Mus musculus: one gene and its partners. The protein of the gene in region 3 purifies or fractionates together with the protein of the main gene of each other region. This does not show direct contact. Links are inferred from orthologs where the notes say so. Each region holds a gene or a part of one and is shown on either strand. Other genes may lie near its edges. The genes, in order: Dcaf7, Zc3h4, Csnk2a2, Ddx54, Hadha, Nkap and Ccnl2.

Evidence for each region.
Region 1: the proteins of Csnk2a2 (region 3) and Dcaf7 purify together in Homo sapiens (affinity purification with mass spectrometry; 8 studies listed by BioGRID and IntAct, counting the BioPlex papers as one, with this or other methods). This does not show direct contact. The link is inferred for Mus musculus from reciprocal best matches to the Homo sapiens genes CSNK2A2 and DCAF7.
Region 2: the proteins of Csnk2a2 (region 3) and Zc3h4 purify together in Homo sapiens (affinity purification with mass spectrometry; 3 studies listed by BioGRID and IntAct, with this or other methods). This does not show direct contact. The link is inferred for Mus musculus from reciprocal best matches to the Homo sapiens genes CSNK2A2 and ZC3H4.
Region 4: the proteins of Csnk2a2 (region 3) and Ddx54 purify together in Homo sapiens (affinity purification with mass spectrometry; 3 studies listed by BioGRID and IntAct, with this or other methods). This does not show direct contact. The link is inferred for Mus musculus from reciprocal best matches to the Homo sapiens genes CSNK2A2 and DDX54.
Region 5: the proteins of Csnk2a2 (region 3) and Hadha purify together in Homo sapiens (affinity purification with mass spectrometry; 3 studies listed by BioGRID and IntAct, with this or other methods). This does not show direct contact. The link is inferred for Mus musculus from reciprocal best matches to the Homo sapiens genes CSNK2A2 and HADHA.
Region 6: the proteins of Csnk2a2 (region 3) and Nkap purify together in Homo sapiens (affinity purification with mass spectrometry; 5 studies listed by BioGRID and IntAct, counting the BioPlex papers as one, with this or other methods). This does not show direct contact. The link is inferred for Mus musculus from reciprocal best matches to the Homo sapiens genes CSNK2A2 and NKAP.
Region 7: the proteins of Csnk2a2 (region 3) and Ccnl2 purify together in Homo sapiens (affinity purification with mass spectrometry; 3 studies listed by BioGRID and IntAct, with this or other methods). This does not show direct contact. The link is inferred for Mus musculus from reciprocal best matches to the Homo sapiens genes CSNK2A2 and CCNL2.

Annotation. Positions count from the first base shown.
Region 1 is NC_000077.6:106,053,611-106,056,979, reverse strand, and holds part of Dcaf7 (DDB1- and CUL4-associated factor 7), read right to left. Parts: intron 3,250-3,369; coding exon 3,132-3,249; intron 2,298-3,131; coding exon 2,125-2,297; 3' UTR 1-2,124. UniProt on the Homo sapiens protein: Involved in craniofacial development. Acts upstream of the EDN1 pathway and is required for formation of the upper jaw equivalent, the palatoquadrate. The activity required for EDN1 pathway function differs between the first and second arches.
Region 2 is NC_000073.6:16,399,891-16,404,373, reverse strand, and holds the start of Zc3h4 (zinc finger CCCH domain-containing protein 4), read right to left. Parts: upstream 3,179-4,483; 5' UTR 3,082-3,178; coding exon 3,068-3,081; intron 3,040-3,067; exon of another isoform or gene 1,896-3,039; coding exon of another isoform or gene 1,858-1,895; exon of another isoform or gene 1,638-1,857; coding exon of another isoform or gene 1,615-1,637; intron 1-1,614. UniProt on the Homo sapiens protein: RNA-binding protein that suppresses transcription of long non-coding RNAs (lncRNAs). LncRNAs are defined as transcripts more than 200 nucleotides that are not translated into protein.
Region 3 is NC_000074.6:95,485,905-95,490,482, forward strand, and holds the start of Csnk2a2 (casein kinase II subunit alpha'), read right to left. Parts: upstream 2,917-4,578; 5' UTR 2,544-2,916; coding exon 2,440-2,543; exon of another isoform or gene 2,298-2,439; intron 2,257-2,297; exon of another isoform or gene 1,773-2,256; coding exon 1,661-1,772; intron 1-1,660.
Region 4 is NC_000071.6:120,625,820-120,629,194, reverse strand, and holds the end of Ddx54 (ATP-dependent RNA helicase DDX54), read right to left. Parts: coding exon 3,351-3,375; intron 3,270-3,350; coding exon 3,156-3,269; intron 2,795-3,155; coding exon 2,690-2,794; intron 2,362-2,689; coding exon 2,246-2,361; intron 2,136-2,245; coding exon 1,903-2,135; 3' UTR 861-1,902; coding exon of another isoform or gene 783-860; 3' UTR 603-782; downstream 1-602. Other genes in the region: Cfap73 (cilia- and flagella-associated protein 73), read left to right, coding at 783-860.
Region 5 is NC_000071.6:30,152,135-30,156,549, forward strand, and holds the start of Hadha (trifunctional enzyme subunit alpha, mitochondrial precursor), read right to left. Parts: upstream 2,847-4,415; 5' UTR 2,815-2,846; coding exon 2,748-2,814; intron 1-2,747. UniProt on the Homo sapiens protein: Mitochondrial trifunctional enzyme catalyzes the last three of the four reactions of the mitochondrial beta-oxidation pathway.
Region 6 is NC_000086.7:37,125,246-37,129,583, reverse strand, and holds the start of Nkap (NF-kappa-B-activating protein), read right to left. Parts: upstream 2,822-4,338; 5' UTR 2,589-2,821; coding exon 2,209-2,588; intron 1-2,208. UniProt on the Homo sapiens protein: Acts as a transcriptional repressor. Plays a role as a transcriptional corepressor of the Notch-mediated signaling required for T-cell development. Also involved in the TNF and IL-1 induced NF-kappa-B activation.
Region 7 is NC_000070.6:155,810,804-155,815,496, reverse strand, and holds the start of Ccnl2 (cyclin-L2), read right to left. Parts: upstream 3,009-4,693; 5' UTR 2,970-3,008; coding exon 2,688-2,969; intron 2,330-2,687; coding exon 2,255-2,329; intron 2,039-2,254; coding exon 1,929-2,038; intron 255-1,928; coding exon 134-254; intron 1-133. UniProt on the Homo sapiens protein: Involved in pre-mRNA splicing. May induce cell death, possibly by acting on the transcription and RNA processing of apoptosis-related factors.

The DNA of each region.
Region 1 (3,369 bases), on a different chromosome or scaffold from region 3:
GAGCAGAAAAGGAAGACTGAAGAAAGTTGACAAGTGTCCACAGAGCAAGGAAAAAGTCATCACGTGGTTGGTTTCCAAAGCACATAGAGACCTCACACAAATGTATTCTAAAACTGCTGCTAACCTTTTAAAACTTTGTTTTCAAGTTCTAGTTGACAATCCTATCATTCACCCCAAGCTAAAGTCCACCCAGCACAGGTGCTCCCCAGCACAGGTGCTCCCCAGCACAGGTGCTCCCTACAGGCCCTGCGACGCCCTGACTCAGCCTACTACTGTAGACTCAGCCCAGGAAGAAACTGAGGGCTCCTACAGCAGCAACCATCAGCAAGTCTGCTACCTTTGAGGAGTCTGTACCTGGCTGGCAAACGCCACTAAGAGCAGAGGGAACCACAAACTGATCCAGGACAAGCCACAGGTTAGTGCAGGAACCCCAGAGACCCAAAATCAGAATGACAGATTAGGAAGGCCAAGGAGAAATACCCTGACTGAAAAGGCCTTTCCTTTGGGACAAGGTCCTAATATAGTGAATCTAAATCTAAGACTTTTGGCATACAACTACATCAGTTGTGGAAGCAAGCAAAGACTCTGCCAGACAGTCCATGTTCCCAGAAGAATGAGTCGACATTGACTTCTCCAGCAATGGCAGCATGAGTGGCCAACCAGCCATCAGCCATCAGGCCTGCTGCTCTCCTTGTCCCAGAGCGTCTAAGAAACCTGCAAGCAGCTCAGCAGATTATAAACAGCCACCCTCTCCTAGACCATGTTCCAAACTGCCGGGGACTCATCTAAAGTCAGAACCACATACAAGTCCCCTCTGTGGAACCCATACACCTAACGGAAACAGACACGCGAGGCCTGTAAGTCAGCATGGCCAACTGCAGCCTACAAAGTCCAATACTGCTCATAACCTTAACTGAAGAGAGGGCAGGTGCCACAGGCGTGGAGAGTCTTAGCTGGCTGGCCCTGAGTCTACCTTGGCTGATTTGCTCATCATTTATGAGAACTGCCTGTCTGTCACAGTCTAAAGATCTTGTTCAGGGTCAAGCACAGACGGTAGCTCCCAGGAAGTCTCTTATTCAGAGTACTCAATCCAAAGATGGGCCAGTGTCCCACCAGGTAGAGGAGACTCAGCAAACAGAAACACAGAAGCTTAGCTGAGAGATCTCTCTTGCCTATCATTCAAGTTCGAAACTGGAAAAATAGATTCTGAAACCAGGTACTGGAAACACAATATAAGTTCAGCTTTCCTGAACATGATTCTCCTTCCGCATGACCCCTAGTCAACTGCTTATCTCAGCCCCACAGGGTACTCAACTAGTGAAGCCAGAGAAAGGGACTTGAGGGTGAACAGAAGCCTCCTGCATCTCCTGGGCCTCCGAGGGCCTTCAGGAGACCCAGGCTGAGAACGGTTGGTGAGTCAGTAGACTTCAGAGCACCAGCGCAGTTGTCAACTCCCGGTCAGGGGTCAGGGCTGTGCCCCACAGGCAGTGACTCAGGAAAGCAAACTGCTCGTGGGGTCTAGGGTCCAGTACCCACTGCAGGCACTGAGGGAAGAGAGGAAGGTACAAAGAGGGAAATCTGTGAAATCAAGAAACCAGAAAGGTTAAATTCTTTTCATAAAAAAACTAGCCTGATAGATAAAAAACATACAAAGTTGAGGTTTGTTAAAAGACACTGGTGCCAGGAGGAAAGACAATCTCAAGTTGGCCTTTGTTCCCACTTAAGTGCTAGCACGACACAGATGGGGACACGAGATGGATGACTGCCTCAGCAGCAGACAGACAGACATGGGCAAATGGACACAGACAGAGCCAGTGCTTGTACTGTTTATGAACACAACAGCTGACAAACAAATATACAGAAACGTTTAATTGAAGAAGCAAAGAAGAGGAAAGGAGTGAAAATTTAAAACCCAGCCCTGGGCTGCAGTGGCGCCACACAGCACAGTCCAACACAGACAGCGGGGTAACTGGCCTGGACTTCTACAGCAGCTTCTGAACACAGTGGGTGTAAAGCAGCAGTAGACATACTGGCCACTGGGAACATGTTCTTCTTACATGGGAGGGAAGGGGGCAGAGGCTGAAGCACACAAGCCCCTGCCGGATACGTGAGGTGCCACCAACACTACACGCGGAGTATCTCCAGGCAGTTGTTGTAGCAGATAGCGATCCAGTCAGGCTGAGTGGAGGCCCACTGCACATTGTTGATCTCTCCCTCAGCTGTGTAGGCCAAGATAGGGTCCTCGATGGCCCGAGGCATCTGCTGGATGTCCCAGATGAGGGCCTGATGGTCATCCGCTAGGGAAAAAGCAAGCAAGAATGTCATAGCTCAGGCAATGGGGTAACAATCTTGCATCTGGAGAGGCAGTCACAATTTGTGAAACATTTGTTCATCAAAGCTTTGTGAAAGGGCTTTATTTTAGAGAAGAGGAAACCAAGATTTAGGAATGTCACCAGACTTGCTCCTTCTTGCCATGTAGCCAGTGAGGACCAAATCTAGGTCCTGACTCCATTTCCCAGGTGTCATTAAGCTCCATTTACTATACCAGGGTTAGAGAATTAGATCAGGACATTGCAGTCAGGAATCAGGGAAGGACACGGGATACAATGACCCCAAACTATGATGTTACTGACAGCCACTAAAAATACTTGCGTGGATAAAGATGCTTCTCTGATGACTGTTTCCCAGTTTATGTACATTTACATTTCAATGAGTTACACAGATGGTTGACATAAAGTGCTATATAAACATACAACATTAAAAAAATTCCACCCATGCCTGTAACCCCAGCATTAGGGACTGGGAACAGAGTTAAGTGATAGAGTAACTCTTATCACGTTCAAAGTCCTAGGTCCAATCCCCAGCACCATCAGAAAATAAATAAAAAACCTGAACTATTGCCAATGAATGTGTTTTGCTAGGTGTGGTGGCACATGACTGTAACAGCATTCTGGAGGCAGAGGCAGGGGGACTGCTGCCATTTGGAGCTCAGCCTGATAAATACAGCGGGTCACTACCTGGCAGCATTATCCAGCAAGACCCTATCTCAACAGAATAAATAACAAAACTAACACAAAACCTTAAGACCCACCACAGTCACCTGGCCTGATACTTCCTCCCGCCATGGTTACCTGCAGTACAGATGTGGCAGGACGAGTGTGGGGCCCAGGCAATGCCATTGACACATGCTCGGTGGTTGTTTAGCCTAGCAACCGGTGTGCAGGGAACTCGAACATCCAGAATCACCACCTGCAGAAATACAAGAAAAAGGCCCAATAATTGCAGAGTGTAGCAGGAAAGCACTATCATGAACACAGCACTGTAAGCATGGTCTTTTCCTTTATGGATCCGAGAACACTAGAGATAGGG
Region 2 (4,483 bases), on a different chromosome or scaffold from region 3:
CTTACAAAGTATGTATAAGCTTTGCTGTTAAAATCAGGGATTCCCAGTGACACCCTTTTCTTTTGCTTTTGCAACATCCATTAATTTCATTATTAACTGGTACATCAGTTTAGGGAGAAAAAAAAAGGTACTACTGTGACATTTCAAAAATATGGAATACCTAAACACATTTAACTTAATATTGGGACTCCTTTGCCAAAAAAACAAAAAACAAAACAAAACAAAAAAACAACAACAAATGAACCCTTGCAGGAATATGCCTGAGAGCTTTTTTAAATGTTTGGAGGAAATATTTTCACATTCAGAAAAATGACTGCTAAATTTTCATTCCCAAAAGGAATCCCATTTCCTAACATTTTATTTTTAAAGTTTAAGTGTTCTTTCATAACTTAGAAATTCTAACCATGTGGAATGGAAGGGTTATCAGCTGACCCTGCTTCTGCTCTGAGCTCCTGGTGGAACTTTACACGAGATGAGAACCTTCAGATGTTTTGTCCAGCTGACCCAGCGCACTGGATAGTGTGTTACGTTCGTGCTTTAGACGTTTTGTGCAGGAATTCTGTACATTCTGGAAATGTCTTCCTCAAAGAGCTGATTTTACATCAGACCACCACTGCATGGCAGTTACAACTGTGAATACATCTAAAGGAATAAAGCAAGCGGCCTGACAAACTGCCGCTTGCACGTGCAGATGGACATCATCTCCCCTGAGAACACAAAGAGGGAACCGGCTCCTTTGGAAGGACTAGGCTTGAGTGAGAAAGACTTCCCTAACAAAGTACTTCAGGGACCAAAAGTGGGCCAGGGGCACAATGGAACTTCAACGTGTTTTTGTCTTTTACAGAAGTTATGCTTGTAAAACACATCCGAAGGACAGTGTTAGGTCCCGCAAGCCACCGCAGCTGCTTTGGGTGGTGTTGAACTTGTATGTGTAGGGTGAGGGGACTGAGGGTGGAACATGTTCTCTCCAACATGACTGGGCGTGTGACACGTTTTACATCAACTTTTCGCGGTCAGGCATGTGCTTCGGAACAAAGAGCAGTGGACAGGAGAGATCAGGGCTTGACACAGTTTACACATACATTTGTGCTTAGACAGTACTTTACAAATGACTTGCTCGATTTAAATGTCTATCACCATAAGTAACATTTGAGTAAAAAATATGGAAAATGGGCCTGCTTGCAACGGTCTTTTCTGGGAGGGCGAGGGGATGTGACTTTAACTTGAATACAAGTACAAACCAAATTCTGTAAGCTTATCCCCTCCAGAGGGACTTGAGGGAGCCACTTTCAAATGAAGGCTGGAGACAAAGCAATGGATGAAAATAGAGGGACACCAAGGGTCTGAAAACATATTGGGCCTTTTCAATGGACTTTTGTCATGTTACAGTAACACTTTTTTTTTTTTGTAAGAAAACTGTGTACACCAAAAATTTTTAAATTAAACACTGAAAGGATGTGCAAGTCTAAAAGGGCTCAATAGGTTAGAATCCTGATTTGAACATAATAAATCCACTCTCAAGCATCACTTTGGTCTAAAGGCGAGGAGTAAGCAGGCAGGAAAGGGACTAAAAGAGGGAGATAATTGAATTACTCAATAAAAGAGGCTACTTACCATCCCAACCCATTGTAAGACATACACTTCTGACATAAGAGAACTCCTTAGAGGTCGGATAAAGCTTGCAAGCACCTTTGAGTAAAGCACCTGCCCCCGAGGGGACCAGGAAGCCCAACGTGGGCTTAGCGAACAGACCTCCGCTAATCTGTTTATTTCCTTGACTGCGAAGGGCTGCGATTCCCAGGACGATACATTTAATTAGAACAAAACAGGAAAAAAAAAATTGTAAAAAAAGCTCACCAAACTGCTGCACCTGTGTCTTTGAATGTGGGTGGCATTTCTTTTAAAAGGCAAAGGAGGGTCTGTGAAGGAGAAAGGGAGAACAGGAGGTGGGAGTGGGGAGAAAGGGCTGAGACCCATGGTCTGAAGGGGTCCTCTGCGGTTCCCTGACGGCTGCGAGCGAGGCTTCTGTCTAGCGCATTCTCCACCCTACCCCCACCCCCGCCTGCAAGACTAGCTTTTCTGCTCCCTGAAACCCACCTATTTTCAAACCTACTCACTCCAGCTCCCAGGAATCAGCAAACTATGTACCCCTTATCTTTCGGCTCCAGCAGGGCAAAAATGGCCCCAAACCTCTCATCCTCAAAACACGCAGGGCTGGTCCCATTATCACCCGCCAGAGAAGGGCGTGGGGAACCCATTTCGCACTAGAGGACAAGAGGCGCCACAGTTCACGTCCTGCCAAAGCACACGGGGGAGATCTTTGCTCCCAAGGGGGCGATTGCACCCTGTTTTGCCCCAAAGAGGGGGCGATGCCCGGAGAAAGCGGTGGCCAACTTCCTCTACTATCCAATGCAGGAAAAGCAACCTTCATACAACCCCCCCGCAAAAAAACAAAAACCTTAAAACTAAGGACCCTCCACCACTGACTGTCACCTACCTACAAAAAGAGAGGGACCCCCCAAAAAAAAAAAAAAAACCAATAGGGTTTCCAAAGAAGGTCAGGGGATTTAATCAAAAGAGCTGGAAATGCACCCGTTACCTGCCTGCCTTCTAGGGAGAAGCTAGAAAATACCTCCCGCCAAAAAATTAAAAGTGCACCAGAGCCCCCATCCTAAGGAGTCCTCCTTAGAACGAAAGAGCGAAGGCTGATCCAAACCCCCATTTTTCTGCCTCCGTTAGACTCGGGTACCTATCCAAAATGGACAGGGTATGCGTCCCCCAGGAGAAAGGATACTGTAGGGGATTGGGAAGACCCCCAACTCCGAACCCCTTAAGAGAGGAGCTGCAAGCTGGAGATGCCCCTAAAACAAGAGAATCCGGGGGCCCCTCCCCCAAAAGCCTTCCCCGAAGCCAGGCGACAGGCCGCTGACGGCCAGCTCCCGGAGCAGGGGCGGCCGAGGAGGCTGATGGGCCTCGGCAAGCCCACCCCCTTGGCGGCCCGTGCCCCGGGCGGGCGGACGGACCGACAGACCGGCGGGCGCGGGGGGTCCGGGGGGCGCCTCCTCACCTTCCCCTCAGCATGGCGCCCAAAAAAAGACAGAGCGAGAGCGAGGGAGAGCGGGCGAACGCCGCGAGGGGGGGCAACGCATGAGGCCGGGAGAGAAAGCGAAGCGAGAAAGAGCGAGCGAGCTAGAGACACCCACCGACCCCGCCCTTCCTCCTCCTCCTCCTCCTCCTCCGCGGCCCGGCCCAACATGGCGGCCGTCCCCTTCCTCCTCCTCCTCCCCCCCTCCCACGGGGGACGCTGCCCGGCCCAGGCCGGGGGGCCTGACCTGTCGTCAGGGAGCGGGAGGCGGTGGTGGAGGAGGTGCGGGGTGGCCGCGCGGCCGTCGGGGGAACACGGAGGAGGCGAAGGCGTTGATGGCGGCGGTGGCGATGGCGGCGGTGGCGACTCTGATGGCGGCGGCGGGGGGGTCCCGGGCACGGCCTCCATCGTTCCTTTGAGGGGGAGGGGATGTTAATGCACCAAAAAGGACTGCTTGGGCGTGGCGGGAGGGGCACACTTCAGCGCTCCGGGGCCTCCTGATGGGAACTGGGCATATAGATACATAGATCGATATCGAGTATTTTTTTTTTCGGTTTCGGAGTCACCTCTGAGCCGACTTCCACGTAGGCCGCGAGGCCTAGGCCCCGGCAAGGCCGCCCGCCGCCTGCTTTCTCCGCAGCCTGGCCCTGAGGTCACTCGCTCACGGGCACGGGACCCTCATCGGGACGAGAGGTCCCCTTCCGCCACACACGCACGCACACACACACGCGGCCCCCCAAGGCCTGAGACCCGGGGGACACGGACACTGGTGGGTGGTTGGGTGTAATTAGCGCGGGCCCGCGCGCGACGGAGCAAGCGAAGGGAAAGGGGGGGAGAGGAGAGCGAGCAGGGGGGATGGTTAAAAAAAAATCGGGGAGAAGAGGGATCGGGCTATGGAGATGGGCCGACTGTCTGCCCGCCCTAGATGCCCCAGCTGCCGGGCCCCCGCCGCGGTCAGGAATTCACACAAAATGGCGGCACAGCCGGGACAAGCACGGAGGCTGAAGCCGGAGGAAGGGCGTGGAGGGAGGGGGTAGCGGAGAGGCCGGAGGAGCGTCACGTGGAGAAGGGCAGAGCCAGCCCGCCCGAAAGTCGGCGAAAAGAGCCGAAGCGGAAGGGCGAGGCGGAGGAGAGGGCACGGAAAGAGCCGAACACAGCTGAGATTAACGAGACTCTGAAAAAAGCCGGAAAGAGCCGAGGGAAGATCTAGGTCACTGCAGCAACGCGGAGCGGATCAGAGACCCACCTAAAGGACCAAGGGTGGTCGTGGGGGCGGGGCTAGGGAAGGCCGGGAGAGCCGGAAATAGCCGAAGCGCTTCGGGATGGGAGAAGCCCCCCCCTGGGGGGGGGCGAGGCGAGAGTCCGGAAAGAGCCGAAGTCAGGGAAGGGATCCCGGGA
Region 3 (4,578 bases):
AGAACAATGATGTCAGGTACATTTCTTTGTGCCTAGGTCTGCTATCTGTAAAAATAATTTAAAGCCGCTTCCGTACTGGATGTGGTAAATATATGCATTGGATCTTTAGAGCAGAGGAAAAACTATCAAGCAACTCATCTCTGAAGTTCCTCACAAGAACCATGGGAAACTACTAACCCTATGTTTCCTTAAACACACTGGGGCTTACACACACCTGAGCACTGTTCCCTTCCAAACACTCCACAGCAAACAGCACTTAGTCCCAAAATGCTACTGCACAGACATTTAGACATTTCCCTGAAATTGCTTTAGACTTGGCAAATTCAATCCTCCAAATGTGCAGCAACAGAACATGGATATTCCCAACTATGCTTGTTTTTGCTTATCCTTAAAATGAAAATGTCTGAAGTAACTTCTATTCAAAACAGGTTTATGTAAGTAATGAAATTGCATGGTTTCCTCCAGCAAGTTCCCTGAAGGAAACATTTCTCTGCTTAAAACACACCCCTCCCATAACTACAGACCTCCAATGTACAACTCATACTTAGCGGGGCCAAGCTCCCTATCTGCCATCATTCCTTCCTTCTCACCCCAGTGTCTTGGGCAGCAGCAATAGCATCACCCATCTCTGCAGCAACTCTGCTCCTTCATCACTAGGCCAGGATGGTAAGGAGCATTAGCAGCAGCCATTTTTTTTGAAAGGTGATTCACACAACGCTAAAATCTACACAATTAAATAAGAACTGCCCTAAGGCACAAGCTTTTCAATCCTGCATTTTTGTTCACTGGGCACTGTGAAAATCTGGTGAAACACTACCACTCTCCAGTGCTCTTTCACTAGTGACACACATACATGTTAAGTGATCTGACAACATGAAAAACTGCCCAGATCCTAAGGTGACAAGCATATGCATTTAAATGACTTGACAACCATGAAGAACCGCTCAGGTCCTACGAACCACCCTCTCGAACAACCTACAAAGCACTATTGAATCTTCAATCACCTGTACAGAAACTTGGCTGACTCTTCATGCTCATTAAGATCATGTCTTCATTTGAGTGATAACAAAAGCCCTATCATTATCAAAGCGAGAGGGCTAGTCTTGCCACAGAGACAAGTTTTGTTCCAGTTATTATTTCAGGGGCTAGAATGTACTCTTCTGTTGCCCCAGATCTCTTAGCGGCTGGCTTGCTATATCCAGCCCACCTGAAACTTTACTGCTACATGAAATGAAAATATCAACTGAGGGAATTGTCCTGAATTTTTGGCTTTAAACTTATCTCTGAGCAGACTCCAGTTTTGTTTTGTTTTGGGTTTTCCGGACTTTTTCTGGAGTAACTGGGAGCAGAGAGTAACGAGTACAGATTTAGAATCCCTACAGTTGACAGATTCTCCATGCAAACTCCTTCCTCTCTTGCGAATACCTCTTTATTCCATATCAGATACAGTCCCCCCTCACAAGCTTTGTTTGAGAAGTTCAGAATTCACACTTTAAATGTTCCTGACCTACCAAACTCAGAATTAAGACCAGCCCGCACATTTTCTCAAAAGTTCACAAGGAAAAGCATGGTAGGAGTCCTGTAGGAGATGCTTATTCTGGGATAGCTGGTTCTTTTGCCCTGTGGGGGGAAAGGTTACATGCCACCGTTGGCCACTCACCTTGAGAATTTTTACAACCACCCTCTCATTGTTGGTGATGTTAATGGCCTCAAATACTTCACTATACTTGCCCCGACCAAGTTTTCGAACCAGTTGGTAATCATCTTGATTACTGTGAAAGGCAAGAGATATACATAAATGCCAGGATTTGGGATTAAGCAAGCCTCTGTCCACCACACATCCATCCGCCATCTCCAACTAATCAAGCATTCGGAAGTATTCCTACCATCACACAGCAACTCATTCTCTTAAATGAGAGCCACACAGAAGCTTGGCTCCCTTCACTCTGCAGAGCTCCTAACCTAACTGACTCTTAACAAGAAGAGGAATGGGCAGCTACAAGGCCTCAGGAGCCATTAAGGGGACTAAGGGAAGCATCCCCCCTGGTGGTACTGGGGTGCCCTGCCCGTGGCTCCACGGCACCTGCCTCCCATTTCACACCTTCCAGGGGGCACTGCCCGCTCTAGACAATCTGCCCCTCTTCAAAATGACCCTCCCACCCAGCCTCATTTCAGAAAGTAAAGAGGTAGAGATTTCAACAGCTCAAGAGGACAGCCATGGACTTCCCAACCCATAGGAAGCCCAAAGTCTGAGGAGGAAGGGCCGCCCCCACCCCCGACCCCACGCTTCTCCCCACCGGCGGCTGAGCCGGGGACCGAGGCAGGGCGGACAGGAGAGGCCGGGGACACGTGCGGCCGGGGCCGGGCCTCCCTGCCAGCCCCGAGGCCGAGCGGCCGGCGGGTGCGGTTCGCGCGTGGGGCGGCCGGCGGCGGCTTTACCCCCAGCTCGGGACGTGGGCTTCGTAGTCCCAGTACTCGCGGCTCCTCAGGCTGTTCACCTCGGCGTAGACCCGGGCCCGACTGCCCGCGGCCGGGCCGGGCATGGCGGGCGGGACCGGGGGGCGCCGCGGGGCGCCGAGGGCGGCGGCGGCGCGGCGCGGGGCGCGGGGCGGCAGGCACGGGAAGCGGCGGGCCGCGGGCTGCCCAAGCAAGAGGAGGAGCGCGGCGGCGGCGGCGGGCGTCCGCGCCAGGCCGGGCCCGCGGGGGCGGGCGGACGGACGGACGCTCGGGCCGGGGGGCGCGGAAGGCGCCGGCCGAGCCGGCCCGGGGCCTTCGGCTGCCGGAGGGACGGCGGGGTTCGTGCTCCGCGGAGGCCTCCGCTCGGCTCGCGGCCCCCCAGAGGCGGTGGTGGCGGCAGCGGCAGCCACCGGTCGGGAGAGGGGCAGCGGCAGCGGCGGCGGCGGCGAAGAGGGAGGAGGAGGAGGCGGAGGAAACCCGGAAAAGGGGCCGCACTCGCCAGGAGCGGCCGCCGCCCAGCCCCGGCCCGCCCCGGCCCACAGCGCCCCCTACAGTGCGGGGGGACTATGGCCGGCGCCCGCCCCCTCAGCGAGCTCGCCACCCTCCAAGCAATGTGGCCGGCTGCCTGCCCAACTGCAGGCCACCCCCCAGAAGTCTCTACCTTTGACTGCCGCCGCGCTTAGCATAGTTCCACTGTCCAGTCACCTCGTGTCCACCCACCACGACCTCCCATATTGGCCCTGAGCTGACTTTCTTTGAAACCCAAGAACCCTCCCCTCAAACTGTCCCCCTTCCTCACTCCTCTTCCCACTCTGGACCCCACCCTGCCATCCACAGATCCCTTCCTTCAAGAGGAAAACCAAACTAGTCCTAAAGCTACCCTCGCCTCCCAATTCCCCATCCAGATTCCTCCCTGAGAGCCCACTGAGCCATCCTTTGGGCCACTTGCTTAAACCAGAGCCCACCAGATAGTTTCCCCATAAAGTTAACTGGGTTTTTCCCCCTTTGTATTGAACCTGTAATTTGTGGATCATACTTTGAGAATGTAAATATCCATTTTGTTTGTTTGTTTGTTTGGGAGGAGGGAGAGCTGGGGAGTGAGGACTTCTTGAACAGTCTTCTCTCTCATTGATGTCCTGGGGTCCCCGGCTATCTTGTTTTCCTGTTCATATTCTTTAACAACAAGGATCTCTTCTTCCAGCCCAGGTTGCTCTGACTCTAAACTCCCCCTCTCCCTCCCCCCCACACACTGTTTTCTAGATGAGGCCACGTTTCCTCTTTCTTCACATACCGAACTATCGAGGTTCAAGTCCCGGTTCCATAGTTTGCAAGGAATGCAGATTTGAACCAATGACTCAACGTCTCCGTGCTACAGATTTTGTAGCATCAACCCAGCACCGACTTCACAGAGCTGTACAGAGACTAAGGACTGCTCCATATTAAAACACTACATGTTCCCGCTGTTGTTAAACTCTACACCTTTCCTTCCCTGAGAATAGCGCATGCCCGTCTTTCAGTTTCTTCTTCTCTCTGAGCTTGGCCACGGGGTACCGCTGCCACCCCACAAATGACTGGCTTTCTTTTTCAAATCTCACCTTAGAGGCCACTTTCTCTGAAGTTGATACTTCTCTCAGCGACTCCTCCATGCCCTTCGTAAAACTACAGCTTGGCATGAGTCCTCTCCTGGTTTGCCATCTGTCCCCTCCCTGTGAAAACAATGTGAAGGCATGACTAGGGCTGGGTGATCACCACCAGGTCACTCAGTGTCTGCCGGGCAGGAGGCCTTCAGTCAACACAGTGCTCTTGGCCCACGGTTACCATGCTGGTTACAAAGGGGACCCTGAAGGTCATATTATGCATGGACCAGCTGACTTTCTGTGTGACGCACAGAGAAAGGACACACCACTCATCACATTGCTGTCAAAAAAGCTCAACCTGCATCCAACCAGACACGGCCAAACTGAGGGACAGTTCAGCAAAAAAATCTAGTTCACACTGCTAAAAAATAACAGTGTCACAGCCAAAACAAAACTTGAGGTGCTGCTCTAGAGTAAAGGAGACTGAGAGCGACCCCTGAGGCTGCACACTGTAATCCTACCTGAGGAGTAGACTGTGGGTTCA
Region 4 (3,375 bases), on a different chromosome or scaffold from region 3:
AGGCCAAGAATCATTGTCAGGCTGGCCAGAACAGAGAACTGTCACCATCCTCCCTGTCGCTGCCATGGCAAGGGATGGCTATTCTGGTTTTTTCCCTTCTTTGTGTTATGGTCTCAGTGTTTACCCAGGTGATGGACATGAAGAGGCTCCCACAGGCTGCTGTACATGTGCTGTATTCTGGCTCCTGGTGGTGGGGCTATAGGTGTCCGTTCATTTCCTATACTTGAGCAATTAGCACAAAACGAAAAGATGCTATGTCGATGAGGTTACAAGCCAACAAGCCAAGCCTGATCCAAGGGAGACACGACCTGACATGGGTGGGACACCAGGCTGGCAGGGAGCCAGCTGGAAAGATGCCAAGTGTCTGGTTTAGATTCCTTCAGTGGCTGGGCAAGGCAGTGTACCCGCCTTTAACCCCAGCATTCAGGAGGCAGAACCAGGCGGAACTCTTAGGTTTGAGGCCAGCCTGGTTTACAGAGCGACTTCCAGGACAGCCAGGACTATATAGGGACCCTATACAGTCTAAAAGAAAAAAAAAAAATCTGTGTTATATACTATCATTTTCAACACTTAGGAAACTGAGGCAGGAGGAATACCTTGAGTTAGAGGCCAAGTTTGAGTTGTACTTTTATCAATAAACAGAACAAAGGATACTTTTAGGAGGCTGGGCTAGACACTATCAGTGCCTCTCCAGTCAGGGTTCCAGCCCCACCCCTGCCCTGGGCCTGCCTCTGTGGGGGTGGGGAGAGGATGTACTCTGGCCATGTCATCTCTGCCCCCAGGTGAAGCGGTTTATCATGAACATCTCAGCCACACTGGCCAAACTTGCCCTGGCTCAGCCTACAGCTACTGCTTCCTAATCCGGCCTGGCGAACGGTGAAGGGGACCTGAGGGACCAAGTCCCACATTTCTTGGTGTGCAGGCTCAACGTAACCGCTCTCTGACTATCCTTTCTCCTGGGCAAGACAGAGCGGTGACGCCTCACGCCATTGTGAGCCTTCCACGGGACATTCAGTATGAACTCAGTTAAGTAGACAATGGGGTTGACAGCTGGGCTGGTCACTCCATCCACCACAACAGGCTTGGGGACAGGCCTCTCCCAGCTGGCTGGGGGGGGGGGCATTGGACAAGCTCAGATGGAGCCCAGTGCACTCCAGGATGTGCACTTGCTATGTACAGTGGATCTGAGCGGCAGGGGATTATTGGTACCATCTGCTCTTCGGGCCCAACGGGGTAGTCCCCAATGTGTGCCTGACCTGCACTGGGGTCTGGCTACTGGAGGATGCTTCACACACACACACCCAGGACCTCAAGCAAGAGGTGGAAAAAGCCACCAGCAGAATGAAGACACGAGGGTTGGCGCAGGCTGCTTTCTCTCTTCCATGTGAAGAAGGGCAATGCCACCACAGCCTTTCTCTGCCCCGCAGCAGTCCTGAGCTGCCTTGGGTGACTCATTTTCCTCATCTCAGTGACCAGGAGGGACACGCAGGCATGGCCACCTGCTCTCAGCCTCAACAACAGCTGAGACACCTTCCAAAAACATCCTGAGGAAGCCACACTCCTGGTCTACTAGAGGCAGTAAAGTTTATTACATTAAAACTCAATGCTGGGTCAGAGGCATCCACACGGCCCTGATCTCTGAATCCTGAAGGTGTGGAACCAGAAGCCGCTGTGACTTGCAGGGTCAGGACTTGGGTCTGCCTGCTTTGCATAGCTAGACTCCTATGCATCCTTTCAGAGGTCACCCAATGTCCCAGTCAAAAGCAGCTGTTGCTCTGTGGCCATATGGCACTACTCCTCACAGAGCAGCGCCTGTGGAAGGATCTTCCAACAGCACATGGACATAGTCCCTGACGTCCACACCCGGGGCTACCAGGAAGCCCCAGGGCTGCGTCTGGCTCCTCACATCCTTTTCCTCATCTTGCCCTTCCTGGAGGGAGCACCCCGGCCAAAGGCGCCCTGGCGCAGCTCCTGGGCTCGGCGTCGGTTGCGTGCTGAAAGCTGCTTCAGGCCCCCTCGCTGCAGGAAGCGCTGCTTCTGAGCTTGCCGGCGCTGCTTGAGGATTTGCTCCTTGGTCTTGAGTTCCGAGCGCATGCGGCCTGCGGGTACACTGGAAGCTCGGGGCTGGGATGTGCCTGTCAACACAGGGATTTGGGGGGAGCTCAGCCTTGGGCCCGTGCTCATCCCTGTGCCTCACCATGCCTGGCTTTCTTCCTGTTCACACCATACCACCTGCCCTGCCCACCTTGACTACGACCTCGCTTTCCACCTCTGCGGGGCCCAGGGCCTCGCTGGTTGGATGGCCCTTCTTCCTCGGAGTCCCGGTCATCAATTTTCTGCTTCTGCTTCCACTTCTGGTAGCTGAAAGCCTCGTTAAGGAAGTAGCAAGTAGCACCCAAGTTGGAGAAAGGCCCCTTATTACGGGGATGCTGAGGAAACCACTGGGTCCCATCGCAGGCGCAGCGCCCCCTCCTATAGGAGCAGCAGCAAGACACCCGCCCCCGCCCCCAGGCGCAGCCCCTCCTATAGGGACAGCAGCATGACACCCGGCCCCGCCCCTAGACCTGGCCCCTCCTATAGGAGCAGCAGCTGAACGCCCGGCCCCGCCCCCAGACATGGCCACGCCTATAGGAGCAGCAGCAGGTAGCCGCCTGGCCCTGCCCCTCTGCATCCCAGCCTCTCAGGATACAGATCCCGCTTGTAAGAGCTGCTGATAAACCGGCCGCTCTCTGTCTTGATCTTTTTCTTGTCTTCTTGGCCTGACTGCCCCACAAACCGCTTCTTCTTCCGGTCCCTGAAAGTGAGATGGGAGGTTCTACTTTGAGGATCCTGTCGCCTCACTTATATAGTCAGTAGAGGATTAAAGGAAAACAGCCAGTCACACCAGGTCTGCACTGGACACTCAGTTCCTTCACCTTCCCTGGACAGCCCAAGTCTCAAAAGGAGCACGGGAGTTGGAGACTCGGAGCTCGATCCCCACAACACATTCGAGCCCTGTGTGTGTCGGGGGAACATCATCAGAGTCCTTGTGGGCATAGCAGGTAAGAGGCTACCGAGAAAGGCCAGCTTCCAGGGACGGAGTCGCCATCTTGCTCTGAGCAGTCAAAGGGGGACACAGAAGGCCACGCCTGGTGGCACAGGGAATGGTCACTCACCACTTGAGCTGCTGCTGCCCCCGGCTCATGTTCTGTGCTTCATCCCCCATCAGGTCCAGGACTGCACCAGCCACCTGCTGCTCAAAGGCCCCTCCAGCCCCACTGACACTCAGCCTGCAGGGTCAAGTGGGAGATGTGATTAATGGCGCCCAGAGCCTCTGTCCACCCGAAGCTGGGTCCTAAGCTCACACTCACCCCCGCTCACTGTCGAAATCCTTGG
Region 5 (4,415 bases), on a different chromosome or scaffold from region 3:
GTAACTGCTTCTGGAATCCAGCCTTACCCTAACAACAAAGCTTACTATACAGACGCGGTGTGAACTTTAGCCTACATTTTCAGTGCCAGCAAATGCAAAACCTTTGCCCTACTTTCTAATCATCTTCATGTGTAACTCAAGAAAATATCTACAAGGTCATATACAACTATAGTCAGTGGGAAGGGTTGGATTGTGCTGCACAACTTTGAAAACTGGAAACGTTACTTTAGTTTATAGAAATTTATAGCTTTTTCAAAATTCAACCCTGGGACAAGAAGTGAGAGTCAGATTTAAAAATAACTACTAATTGCCGTTCACTTCTTGTAAAATTGTTTTACCACTTACATACTTAGGAATTAGGAAAAGTAGGAATTAAATGGATATTAAGATCAACTTATGACTTTTTTGATAGTCATGTTAGAATAACAGTATTGTACAAGATCTCTTTCACAGTAAGTGCCATAGTTCATTAAGCATTTGGCAATGCCTCCACACACTCTCAGGGTCAAGGACAGACCTGCTGAGTCTAGACTCTAAATAGTAAATCAGGTGTACAGCTAATTTTAAATAGACTTTCCTGCATATTTTTTCAAAGTGCATAAGCTGGTATTAAAATAATCTGTAGCTATAATAGACTACATTTTCTTTTCTTTTTTTTTTTTTCTTTAAAGATTTATTTATTATACGTAAGTACACTGTAGCTGTCTTCAGACACTCCAGAAGAGGGCATCAGATCTCATTACGAGTGGTTGTGAGCCACCATGTGGTTGCTGGGATTTGAACTCAGGACCTTGGGAAGAGCAGTCAGCGCTCTTAACCTCTCTCCAGCTCTAGACTACATTTTCTTAATGAAAAAAAAAATACAACTTATATATTTAGATATGTTTCTATGTAGAAGTATAGGAAAATTTAGCTGTTAGCTTTTTATTACCTATGTAAAATGGATAGATTACAAGTTCTCAGCTATATATAGTCATTGCTTCTAAGGGATAAAAAACTAATAACATTTATTGAGAATGTATGCCTATGTGTTATACCTAATATAACTTCTTTAGATTTAACATGATTGACTCCATTTTACCAATGATAAAGATACTGAAATTAATTCCCAAGGTCACTAGAAGGTAAACTGTAGATTCAAGCCAGATGACAGAGTCCGTATTTAATGCTTTTAATTGCTCCATCATACTACTTCTCCTGTCAAAGAAAAAAAATCACTCTCATTCATTTCACAGATGGGAAAAGAAAGCCCATTTAGATGAAAGGGCAAAGTCAACAGCTAGCTAGTGACAAGAGAACATGTGACCCAATCACCACTCCAGTGCTAACCTGGCTGCCAATTCATGAAAGTACCTTACATCAAATACAGGACCATAGGTGCCTTTTTTCCCCTAAAACTGTTATAAATGTGGAAAAGGAAACACAACCAAGTGCAAACAGGAGACATAGAGATCGATGGATCTTTCTTTCTTTCTTTTTTGGTTTTTCCGAGACAGGGTTTCTCTGTATAGCCCTGGCTGTCCTGGAACTCACTCTGTAGACCAGGCTGGCCCTGAACTTAGAAATCCACCTGCCTCTGCCTCCCAAGTGCTGGGATTAAAGGCGTGTGCCACCATGCCCGGCTCTTTTCTTTTTTTTAAAAGACAGGGTCTCACTGTGTAGCCCTGACTGGCCTGGAACTATGTAGACCAGACAGGAACACAAAGACCCACCTAATATTAAAGGTGAATTAGCACCCAGTCCACTTCACTTTTTTTTTTTTTTTAATTTTTTTTTTTTTTTTTTTTGGTGGGTAGCAATTTTGGCTATTTACACATAATCGATCTATGGAGGTTTTTAAAAAAGTAGAAAAAGATTCAATCAATTAAATGCCAGGGGAGGGTAAGAGAAGTAAATTCTACACGCATCCCTTTTTTTTTGTGAGGAAAATTAAAGTGAATTCACGTTACAAACTAAAGTCTGGGAAGTAACTAGTATCAAGTATGATACACAATGAAGTTACATTTGCCCTTACAGATTTGGGATGTCTGGGAAAAGGCTGTTTTCTAACAACACCCCTTTAACCCTTTCACTGCCAGCTTGAAAAGGAATGCAGTTCCTGGAGCCTGACTGGGAATCGACAGAAATGAGATTAGAAATAGTTTCTAAGTGATCAAAAATTTTTTTCCTCATCAAAATTTCTTTGCCTAAGTCGGAGAACCTCCAGTTTCAACCTTCTATACATTCAAACTAAGATTACTGAAGTGGGAGAGCTGAGTTCTCTGGGGGGGAAAAATGGTTTTGACGGAAAAGATCAAGGAGTGGCATTGATCTGTAAGGCTAGTAGTCAATGTCACCGAGAAGGCTGATAGATATCTCTTATGGCGACTAACATGTAGTAGAGCCTCAAAAATGTGACAGGTCTTACTTAGTCCTCCGAACTTAGCGGTGTCAGGGCCAAGACAAACATTAAGGGAGACAAGAGGGGCGTGAGCTCAGGGCTACAGCAGAGACCTGCGCAAACTGCCAGACTAAGTGGAAAAGACTCAGGAAAGTTAGGGGAGAGCCTGACACTGCCGGAGCAGGGCGAGAGAGGGTGTGACAGTTCCTTTACAAGGACACAGGAAATAGGGTCTCGGAACAGTAGCCCCATTTCCACGGGTCCCGGGAAAGGGGTGGGAGGCAGACAGTGAGAGGCAAACGCTGCTCCCCGCCGCCCCAGTTCCTGAAGGCACTCCGAGACTCTCCCGAGCCCTCTCCAGGCTCACCTCTGGAGCGTAGGATCCTGAAGGCAGAGAAGCGACTGAGACTGCCAATCGCCCGGGACGCCACCATCTTGAGCAGAAGAGGACGAAAGCTCTTCTAGTGGGGGGCAATGGAGCCGAGGGCTTTTCTTTTCTGAGCCTGTCCGGCAGGGTGTCCTAAGTGCCGCCTTACTAAAACGCAGACTCTGAGTTGCCACCCGTCCTGTCGCCCTACCTCTTGCTCTCAACTAAGCGAGCCGAAAGGATGATTTCTCTGAAGGTGAGACTAAGGACCTCCGAGGAGAGGGCGGAGTGTCTGACTTTCTGCTCAGGCGTTCAGCGGGCAGCCCGTAAATGCCGCGGTGATGGCGGGCGGGGCGAGAGGGGGTCCTTGCGGAGCGGGAGCCGCCCCTCGGCGTGGGCGGACGTTTGTCAGTCTGGACTTGACCTTGTTGGCAGCGGCAGTTTTCGCGGACTCTAAGGTGCGGCAGCGCGCTTCTCGGTTTTCTTCTGATTTCCCCACAGGCAGGTGCCACTTTGCTCCCGACTCTTCTCGTCGATGCCCGCGGCCGCTTCCCTTTGCTGTGAGGGTCGAAGTCCCAAGAGCGGGACAGGCTGGTCCAGGCCTCCAGTGCGAACCGCCTCAGGGCGGGCGGTGGTCGCGTTCTCGCGTAGCTCGCGGCAGCGGTGTCTTCTGTCTGCATTTGTCACTTCAGGTTTACGAATGGATTGCGTGTGTGTGAAACGCTGGGCTGTGTCAGAGCGGTGTCGTTTCCCCTGTTGTTGACCTGTCTAGGCAGTCTGGCGGCTGTAGAGATTGAGAACGCGTCGTTAAGTGCGGGTCTCGGGGGTGAAAGCAGCCAAGACAGTCCTCCAGTCTGCTTGGTGATCCAGGGTTCACGGACATTTTCTAACCCAGCAAACATCTGGGCAAACCTGCCACCCCTCACTCTTTTTTCTGTGAAGTAGCCGTAGCTAGTGACTGAGACTGCGCCACAGGTGGTAGAATTAGTCTAGAACCTAAGTCTACTTTTAATTGAGAGTTCAGCTCTTCTGGGCGCCAGGGTGTGAGTTGTTTGTTTTGGTGCTGGAAAGATGAGCCCTGAAATAAACTGATTGTTTTCAAAAGAAAGTAAAGTCAGCTTCCGGTGTGTGCACCATTTTGTTTAATACGCACAAACCCCACGTTTCATTTGCACTTTCGGTGACTTGACAGGCTCAGAAAGATTATAATACCTTCTCTGTGGCAAGCCAGGATTCAAACAGAAGTGGCACTTGCTAGTTAATTGATTATTCTGCCACACAGGAAAGAAATGGCTAAAATGATTCTAGAAAGAAAGGAGCGTCCTGTTTTAAAGCTCTAGTCAAACTAAGTCTTCCACCACCAAGAACACTTTAAGCTGGTACTAAATGACCACTTCGGAGTAAATTGCAAAAAAGGAACCCTTTTCCCATACCACGCCTTCCACTACACCTATTTCATATCCTTTTTTTGTAAAGAGCCACACAGAAAATAGTTTGTTTTGTGAGCCCACCCTGTGCTCTGTTACATACTTGTTTTGTGTTGCCTGCAGCTTTTTATCATTTTTCCTAAACTAGAGATGGAACTGACAAAAACGGAACCATTCACACACATACACGTTGCAACTCTTTGAAGGTGTAAAAACCAGAGCTGGTAGAGATCTTGTTCAT
Region 6 (4,338 bases), on a different chromosome or scaffold from region 3:
AAAGCTATACATAGTGACCTTGTCTCAATCCCCTCCACCCAAAAATAAATAAAATAAAAATAATTCTTTGAAGAAAATAATTAGCCTGAATTCCTTAAAGTTTGATGGCTTATGACTCACTTTTAAAAGTTACTACTGGGCTGGAGAGATGGCTCAGTGGTTAAGAGCACTGACTGCTCTTCCGAAGGTCCTGAGTTCAAAACCCAGCAACCACATGGTGGCTCACAACCATCTGCAATGTGATCTGACGCTCTTGTCTGGTGTGTCTGAAGACAACTACAGTGTACTCATATACATAAAATAAATAAATCTTTAAAAAAAAAGTTACTACGAAAGACCTATAATTGGCTTTTCTTTTTTTTAACATTTTTGATCATGAAAAAGGGTATTGATAACTACACAGAGAGAGACTTGGAGAATTTTGTATTTGGCCAAAATGGATAATTTAGAAAAGGGGTACAACTGTTTGTGGCTTCTGGGGGAAGAATGCCTGCCCAGCCATAAAGAGCACAGAAGTCTCATGTCTATTGCTCCTGTAATATGTTAAAATTTCTTATTTTAAAACACAAAGTCTAAGGCCTAGTACCATGCCTAAGACATAATTTTAATAGACAGAATAAACTTCATATCACCTAAAAGTACAAATGCAAATCTCATCCAATCACTTAACATTCCAGTAAATCCTTTACTCCTCTGAAACTGGATCTCATAGGACAGGGTCTAGCTAGTCTTCAACTCCTAGTGGTTCTGACCCTCTCTCAAGTGTTGGGATTAGAGACATGATCCTGGCTCAGCATTTGCTTTTCAACTGACACACTCCATGGGTACCATCCCAGAGGTCTCTAACAGATCAGGACTGTTTCACTTATGGATGTTATTACACCCTTAAAAGCCTTGTTACTGATTTCCCTGTCCCTTGTGGGCCGCTGCTCCAACTCGGGGCCTCGGGTTTGCTAGGCAAGCATTCTTCCCCTGAGCTCAGCTCCAGCTTCTGCGGATTTTTAATGATGAAGAAGCGAAGCTAGGAAAGGTCTCACTTGCCCAAGACCATCCTGCTTCACCACAAACAAAACCTTCACACTCAGGCAGGGCAATGCGGAAACTTGCCCTTTTTTTTTCTTATACTGTATTTCTTCCCCTGCTGGGGGAGGAAAAAAAAACATGAAGCATCTCTCAACTGTTGGAAAGTTAACTTGCCCCTCGATGCCTGTAATACTTGAAATTTTACCATTTTGAAACACATGGTACAGGGCCTAAGACCTAATTTTTAACAAGCATAATAAACTTCATACATATCAGATACTATGACTAATGCAGCAACATGAGCCTCTCTCAGGATATCACTCTACCTCAGGCCTACCTTGAATTAACTCTGTAGTACAGGCTGGCCTCGAATTACTTGTGACAGTCCTACCTCGGCTTCCTGAACGCTAGGATTACAGGAGTGAGACATCATGCATGCCCAGCTTTTGAATTTAAATATGTCTTGAGGCATGGCCTCATGTAGACCAAGGCGGCCGTAAATTTGCTACGTCGATGAGAATGAGTGTTCTGACTTGCCTCAAGAGTCTCACAGTTGTTGCTACTAAAGATTTGTGAGTCTTTTTAAACTAAGAATTCCATTAGAGGAAATCCAATCTCATTCCCACATTGGTTTGCATGGTCAACACGGCTGAGACCACTTGCCAAGACTTTTCCCAACATAGCCTCATCTAATTATTCTTTTCCCTCAAAACCAATACATATACTTAATTACAATACTTCCCAGTTCACTGCAAAACGTTTCCACTGAAATATCCTCTTGTCTCAATTTTTTCTGTTTGTTCATGCAACAAGAAACAGCTGCCATGCCTACCAAGAGGCAGGCACTACTAATTCTGTGATCAATAAAAGTCACAAACCTCTATTTCCGTTTAGTGAGGAATAAAGACAGGTGCACGGATAATGACACCAAGGCATACAATAGCCTCTTACTTTCCCAGTAGGGGTAAGTAGGTAGTGGGAAACCAGGGCCTCTTATGAAGGAGTCTAGGGATGAATGAAAATGTAAGTTAGAAAGGATAAATAAAAAAGGTCACGGGGTGAACTGAAGAAAGAGATGAAAAAGGTGCGAGGCGGATGGGAAGCGAAATAAAACAGAAACAATGAACAAGCTGGACTCAAAGGCAGGCAGAATGACCCAAGAGAGGGTGCGGCGATTTCACTCACTTCTGCCGGAGACTCTCCTCCCTTTCCTTGTCCAGCAGGCTAGGCCATGGCTTGTCGCCCCCGTAGGGACGCGAGTAGCCGCCGTAATAGGCGGACGAGGATGCAGAAGCAAACGGGGCGCTCCGCTGTGCCGAGGGCCGTTCGCGAGAGCGCGATCGAGAGCGGGAGCGGTAAGATTGGTTTCGGGAGCTTTGGCTGAAGCCACTCAGCGAATGACTGAGGCCATTCCGGTCGCCGAACCGAGAACAAGAGCGCGAGCGAGACCGGCGACACCGCGGGGAGCGGGAAGATTTGATGGATTTGGGGCTCCGCGATGGACTGCGACGCTTCGCCCCGGAGGCCTCCCGTTCAGGGCTACGCGAGCCCGATACAGGAGCCATGGTGGGGGAAGCTGAAGCTACCAAGGGGCGGGACAAGGAGGCGCTCTCGCGACCCCCAAAGGTCCCGGACACCTAGGGTCCTAGAGCTTGCAGCCGACCAAATCCGAAAAAAAGCAAGCAAACAAACAAACAAACAAAAAAACCAACTTGGAAACAGTTCCGTGTACAGCGGTAAACCCCTTCCCCCGGACCCAGAGTCCTTGCCGCCAACAGGAAGGGATTTGTGTACCTCTATATAGAAGCCGGCCAGGAAACTGAGGCTACGCTCTCATCCAGTTCCTAGTGAGGTTTCTGAAACCTAAACCGCACTGGATGCCTGAAAGAACATTGCGATGAATGAGACAAGTATTTCATTGAGTAGCCATATAAGCAACACCGCCAATTCTCCCTTTATTTAGTGTGGGACGATCTTTGCCTGTATAGTGTGCGCGTATGAATCTGTGTATGTATTATAACCCCCACTCCCACTCTTTTTTTTTTAATCCCAAGCAAACAAAAGATCATGATTAGGGTTAAGCTTTAATCTAAGATCATTGTTGTCCAGTTCACTTAGAAAGCATACATTCTGATAACTTCAGTCTGTTATACTCCGATTAATTTAGCGACCCAGAGGAAAATCTTAGTACGTAGGTTCAAGCCACCCATCTCTACAAATGTCCCACAAAACGAAGTTATCAAGCCCCTTCAACTAGTCCATCATACACTAGCCCAGCAAAATATAAGGTAGACGATTAATAGTTGTATGTATTAAGTATTTTTAGGCAAAAGAGCATTCAAATATTAATTTTGTTTTTAATTTTTTTGAAATTGAAATGTAATTGTGTCATTTTCCCCTTTCTACCTCCAACCATTCCTGCGTGCCTCCTCTTGCTCTTTTAAACTCATTGCCTCTTTTTCTTTATTTGTCATTACATGTACCTGTAACTATAGCTGTTGTAATGTTTTCACCAGAGAAGACTACTTAGATATGGGTTTTAGCCAATAGAAAGTCACACACGCCGGGGCGGTGGTGGCCCATGCCTTTAATCCCAGCACTTGGGAGGCAGAGGCAGGAGGATTTCTGAGTTCAAGGCCAGCCTGGTCCACAGAGTGAGTTCCAGGACAACCAGGGCTACACAGAGAAACCCTGTCTCGAAAAAAAAAGTTGCGCGCGCACACACACACACACACACACACACACACACACACACACACACGTCCTGTGTTGATATACTTCAGTTAACAAGAACATGTCCAAAAGTGAAACTACAGAAGCCAACAGGGAAGGTCAGTACCTTTAGGAATATTCCCAGAACTATGTACTTTGATCTTTTGTCTTTTGTTTTGGCAGGTGATACTGTCTACATGCTGAATGTTGCAGCCTGAATGGTACTTCCATCATGGAGTCAGTTGTGCTAAGGTCTGGGGACCTACTAAGGTCTAGAGCCCTGTTACAATAACCTGCTCAGAGCATATATTAACCGTATGTTTATGATTTCAGGACCGACCATTTGGTATTGGATAATCAGCTGAGGGAAGACTATTTCTCCTGGCTCTCAGCATTACCTAGTTGCCTGTAGTTCTTTGTCTAGGGTTAGAGCCTCGTGAGATTTTCCCATAATCTATCTTCTGGTGTCATCCTTGTCAGGTCTTGCTTAAGTAGCCATGTTGCTGAGACTTCATAGTTTCTCTGACATTTCTAGGGGATGCAGTCTGAGAGCAAACTTCTTGGTCTCTTACACTCTTTCTGCCCACTCCCTTCCTCCATGAT
Region 7 (4,693 bases), on a different chromosome or scaffold from region 3:
TTTAAGTTCTAGACATAAACAAGAAAACCAAGAGGGGGAACCGTTCAGTACGTTTCAAGGCCTTCACTCCTGCACACAGTAGAAGTCAGCTCAAGTGTGACTTGGGTGGCTGCAGGTGCCAGGCCAAACCCACCTTGTGAGGGTGCTTCACATGGACACAAAAGCCCAACTCCTTGAGAACCCGTCTCTCTGCCTTTATAATCTGGTTCTTTAGGTTAACATACTCTTGATCAAGCACCAGAGGCACGGGCTTCCTGCAGGGAAGGCAAAGAGTAATATGCTCTGTACCAGGGTTGATCAAAACCTTTTAGATTCCACAATTATTTCCAAGCGATACATACCACAGCACCAGAAAGCTACAAATGACATTTCCTGTAACAAAATTTTAGAAGTCCTCAAACCTACATACACTTATTACCCACCTGCCCCCCACCTTGACTTTACACATAAACAATATTCTAGCGTAACAACACACCTCCTGAATATGGTGGAGAGTCTGAGGATCTCTGCACAGTGCTATGACACTGTGTCAGAATTCAAGGCAAAAAGATCACCCTTTTCATGAGTTGTAAACTGCAGAACCAACACAGCACAATAAAGTCATCCCTTGGTACACACTGGTGCTGGGGTAATGACAATTTTCACCTAATACTAATACCCATGAATGTTTAAGCACCTTACGCAAAGTGGTGGACTATCCCCACAGCCTCTTCACACTTCACATCGTATTTGGATACTTTATACCTATTACACTGGAAATGTTGTTGAAGGGACAGTGACAAGGAAGTCTAATCATGTTCAACACAAAAACTATTCCACCTCATACTCTCCCAGTCTCTCACCCCGAACACTAATATTTTCAAGAGTTAGTTGAACTCTTGAATGAGAAACCTGCAGATAGACTACAAAAAGAGAGACATGGTCAAGTCTCAAAGGGTTTGTTAAGCTGGGCACGATAGTACAGTCCCCTAAGCCCAGCATTCTGGAGCCAGAGACAAGACCATCTGTATGAGTGAGACCAGCTTGGTCTACAGAAGGCTCAAAGACTGTTGAGGCTCATAGCCAAGACTGTTTCAGAATAAAGCAAACACCAAAGGGCTCCTGTGAAGGAGCAGAAAGTCTGGGACAAGGTCTAGGTGCACTGCTATACTATTAGGGATATTTGTTTTCTGGTTCTGTTGGTCCGTGTGGATGTTTTAGCTGGGGGCTGCTGTAGTCAGTTGTCTCCTTCTCCTTCTACAACGTGGGACTTCAGTATCAAATCCAGGCTCTCAGGCTTGCCAACAGGTTCCTTAACTAACTAAACCATTTAATCAACCCAGTGTGTTTGTTCTTTAAATTTTGTACAACATTTGTTTGGTATGTGGGTTGTGCCTATGGAGGTCAGAGGACAACTTGCTGGAGTCAATTCTCCTCCTACCATGTTGATCCCAAAACTAAATACAGGTTGTCAGGCTTGGTGACAAATGTGGTTCACACACGTAAGGAAGATTTAGATGGGATTGCTAAGAGGTTAAGACTGCTACACAGCTAGACCAGATATCAAAAAAGACAGCTGTCTAGGGGTATTTCTGTTACAAATGGTTTCTGGCAAGGAAAGGCCAGGAATATTGATCGACATATTACAATGACACTAGAACAAAGAATGGCCAGTTCAGACACTAACAGCGCTGAGGGTGAGAACCAGGGACCTGGTGCTCAGAGGTTCTCAGCAGAACCATGGAACAAACAGGACAATAGGGTGGTGAGCTGATGTGGTCATACAGGAATTGTTTCAGCAGGGCTAGGACAGCCAGCTATCCTGGTTATTGTACCCCCCTACCAACTGCCCCAAGACAGCATCTAGGGCACATGCGAACAATCTACTGTAAATTCACAGGTTGGTATTAACAATGACAGACATTAGGACAGCTCTGCAAAGGACTCACTTTTTCTCTCTCAGATGCCGAAGGCGATGGAATACATTGATGACATCCCTGATTCGTCTCGGAGCCTCTTCTATTTTGGAAGCCAGGTGAACACAAGCCATGGACACATGCTGAAATGTACATTGTGACACGGGTGTTTTTCCCCCCAACTTGAGAACCTTCCAAGGCATTAAAACTATTAGAAACAACCAGAAGATACAGAGACAGACAGGCCTCTAGGGAAAGAGCTGTGTAGACTTTGCAGGACAGAATTCAGCTAAGCACTGGGCAGAACAGGCCAGGTTTCATCCCAATTCATTTCTCCGAGAAAACAGAAAGAAGCCTACCTCCATGGAATGTTTCACGAAGGACTTAGTGTAAAAGAACCGCTGGAACAGCACCTGCCCTGTAGCCATGGCCACCTAGGGACAGAGAGGGTTCCATCACGTTTGAATGCAGGACTCACGCTTGTCCCGGCTACAATGTCTTGTGTGATTTCCCCCCAGGACAAATAGCCACGACAGTTTCCATTTCCCCCAAAGGGTTTGGGTCTCGCGAGGCTTTCTTGGGGGTAAAAGGGCTTCGGCTCCGGCGGAGGGGGAAGGGGAAGGGGAAGGGATGGCGGGTGCGGGTTATTTCAAGGCTGCGGAGCGCACAGGCTCGGACCTCGTCGCCTGGGTCCGGTGAGCTCCGGGCCGGGGGCCGGGACGACAACAAAGGCCCGGCCCTCGGCCCTCGGCCGGCGAACGGCCCCTGCAGAGCTCGCGGCCCGGCCCTTACCTGCGGCAGGCGGAGCAGGATGCCGGCTGCCTGGATGAGCTCGCAGCCCACGACGCGGAGTCCCGTCTCCGTATCGACGTCGAGGCCGCTCGACATGGACGGCGTGAAGCGGAGCTTGTCGTCGGGCAGCAGGCAGTTTTCCAAGGTGATGAGCACGCCCGAGTAGAGCCTGTCGCCGATCAGCACCCCCTGAGACCCCGGGGCCGCTCCCGCCGAGCCGGAAGAGCAGGCCGCCGACGCCGGAGCCATCAACCCCGCAGCCCCGGCCGCCGCCGCCGCCATTTTGTGCCGCCGACTCTTCTCGGGCCCTTCCCGTCAGGGCGGCTGCTCGAGACGATCGTGGCCGCCCCGCCCCGCCCCCTCCCATTGGCTGAACGTCACCGCTGTCTCGACGCCGTTGGCCGTACGACCAGTCCGTCAGTGTCGCGTCAGGCACCGACGCCGGAAGCACCCACGGGTGGGGCTGCTCGTTACCCACTTGGCTCCGCGGCCTGGCCCGAACCGGAACTCCTGCCTGGCAAAAGGGGTTCTAGAAGGGCGCCTTTCTTTGGGGGTTGGGACAGAACAACTTTTCTCCCACAGTCCCACGTGCACGACGTTACACCGCGACTTAGTTCGGAGTCTTTAGTTCTCAGCCCTCCCTTCCGTCCTCGGGCTCTGGAACAGCTGTGGGGTGGATCTGCCAGCATTAAAAGGGCAGATGTGCCTTTAATCCCAGCACTTAGGCAGGCGGATCTGTGTGGGTTCAAGGTCAGCCTTCTCTCTACAGCTAGAGTTCCAGGACAGCCATGGCTGAGAAACTTTGTCGCAAAAATAAATAAAATACTAAACAAAAAAGTGCAGATGAAGGGTCTGGAGAGATGGCTCAGCAGTTCAGAGAACTGACTGCTCTTGCAGAGGTCCTGAGTTCCAGCTACGACATCATGGCTTGCAGCCATCTATCTGTGATTGAATCTGATATCCTCTTCTCTCATTCAGGCACAAATGCAAACAGAGCACTCATATACACAATCTTTTCTTAAAGGGGACCCCCAATAATCTACTGCAGCAAATACAGGCCAAAAAAATGGCTTGGGGACCTTGAAGATCAAGGTGAAACGGCTTGTAGTAGACCCTACAGACAATATTAATATTCCTGACTCCAGTCCTGGCCTGCTTAGTTTCACCCAAAACAGTGCTGCTGCCACTACACAATAGATGTTTCCTGTCACTGCTCAGTTATCTCAAGCTTTTGATAAGATTTCAGCCAGGTTCGGTGAAACGGAAAATTGGGAGGACATGGGAGTTTAAGGAGATCCCTGTATAACTCTGATTCAGGTATGGTGAACAGCCAACAAGGTTGCCAAAAGTCAGTATTCCATAGTCCAGCTGTAGTGGGGTGATTGGATTCCACTCCTAAGCAGACCCCACAAAGATCTCATCAGTCCTCTCACTGTAATGGCCACGCTGCTACTGTCTGTCCGTCTGTCCCACCCCTAGGCTGCAGCTCTAAAGTAGGCACAATTGTCATTGCCTGGTCTGCCCATTCCCTAAGCTGAAACTGAACCAAGAATTAGAAAAGACTGTTGGCTCTAGTCACTCAACCCAGACTCTGGTTCTAGAGATGACTATTACATCCATCAGGAAGAGAAACCTATATTGGAGAGGGATGCTTGGTTACAACTCAACAGTGATTTGCAGTATCTTGTCTTTTTTGTGTGAAGTAGAAAACAAAGCTCAGTGATGGGGCCACATGGATGTGTATCTTCTCCAATATCAATAGCAAGTGGCTAATGAGTAATATATGTGCAACATTCTGGCAAAGTGTTAAGCATATTGTATGCAAGACACCAACCTAGTACAGTGACGTTTAGGCTGATGAAAAAGTCAAAAAAGCCTTGTAGGAATCCTCAGGAAAGAGAAGCCAAACTTAAGCTTGCCTGCAGTGGTGAGAGGACAGATCTTTAGGGACTGGGAACATTACGGAGTTGTAAGCTTCTGTAGTATGTGTGAAGCCTTGTGTTTAG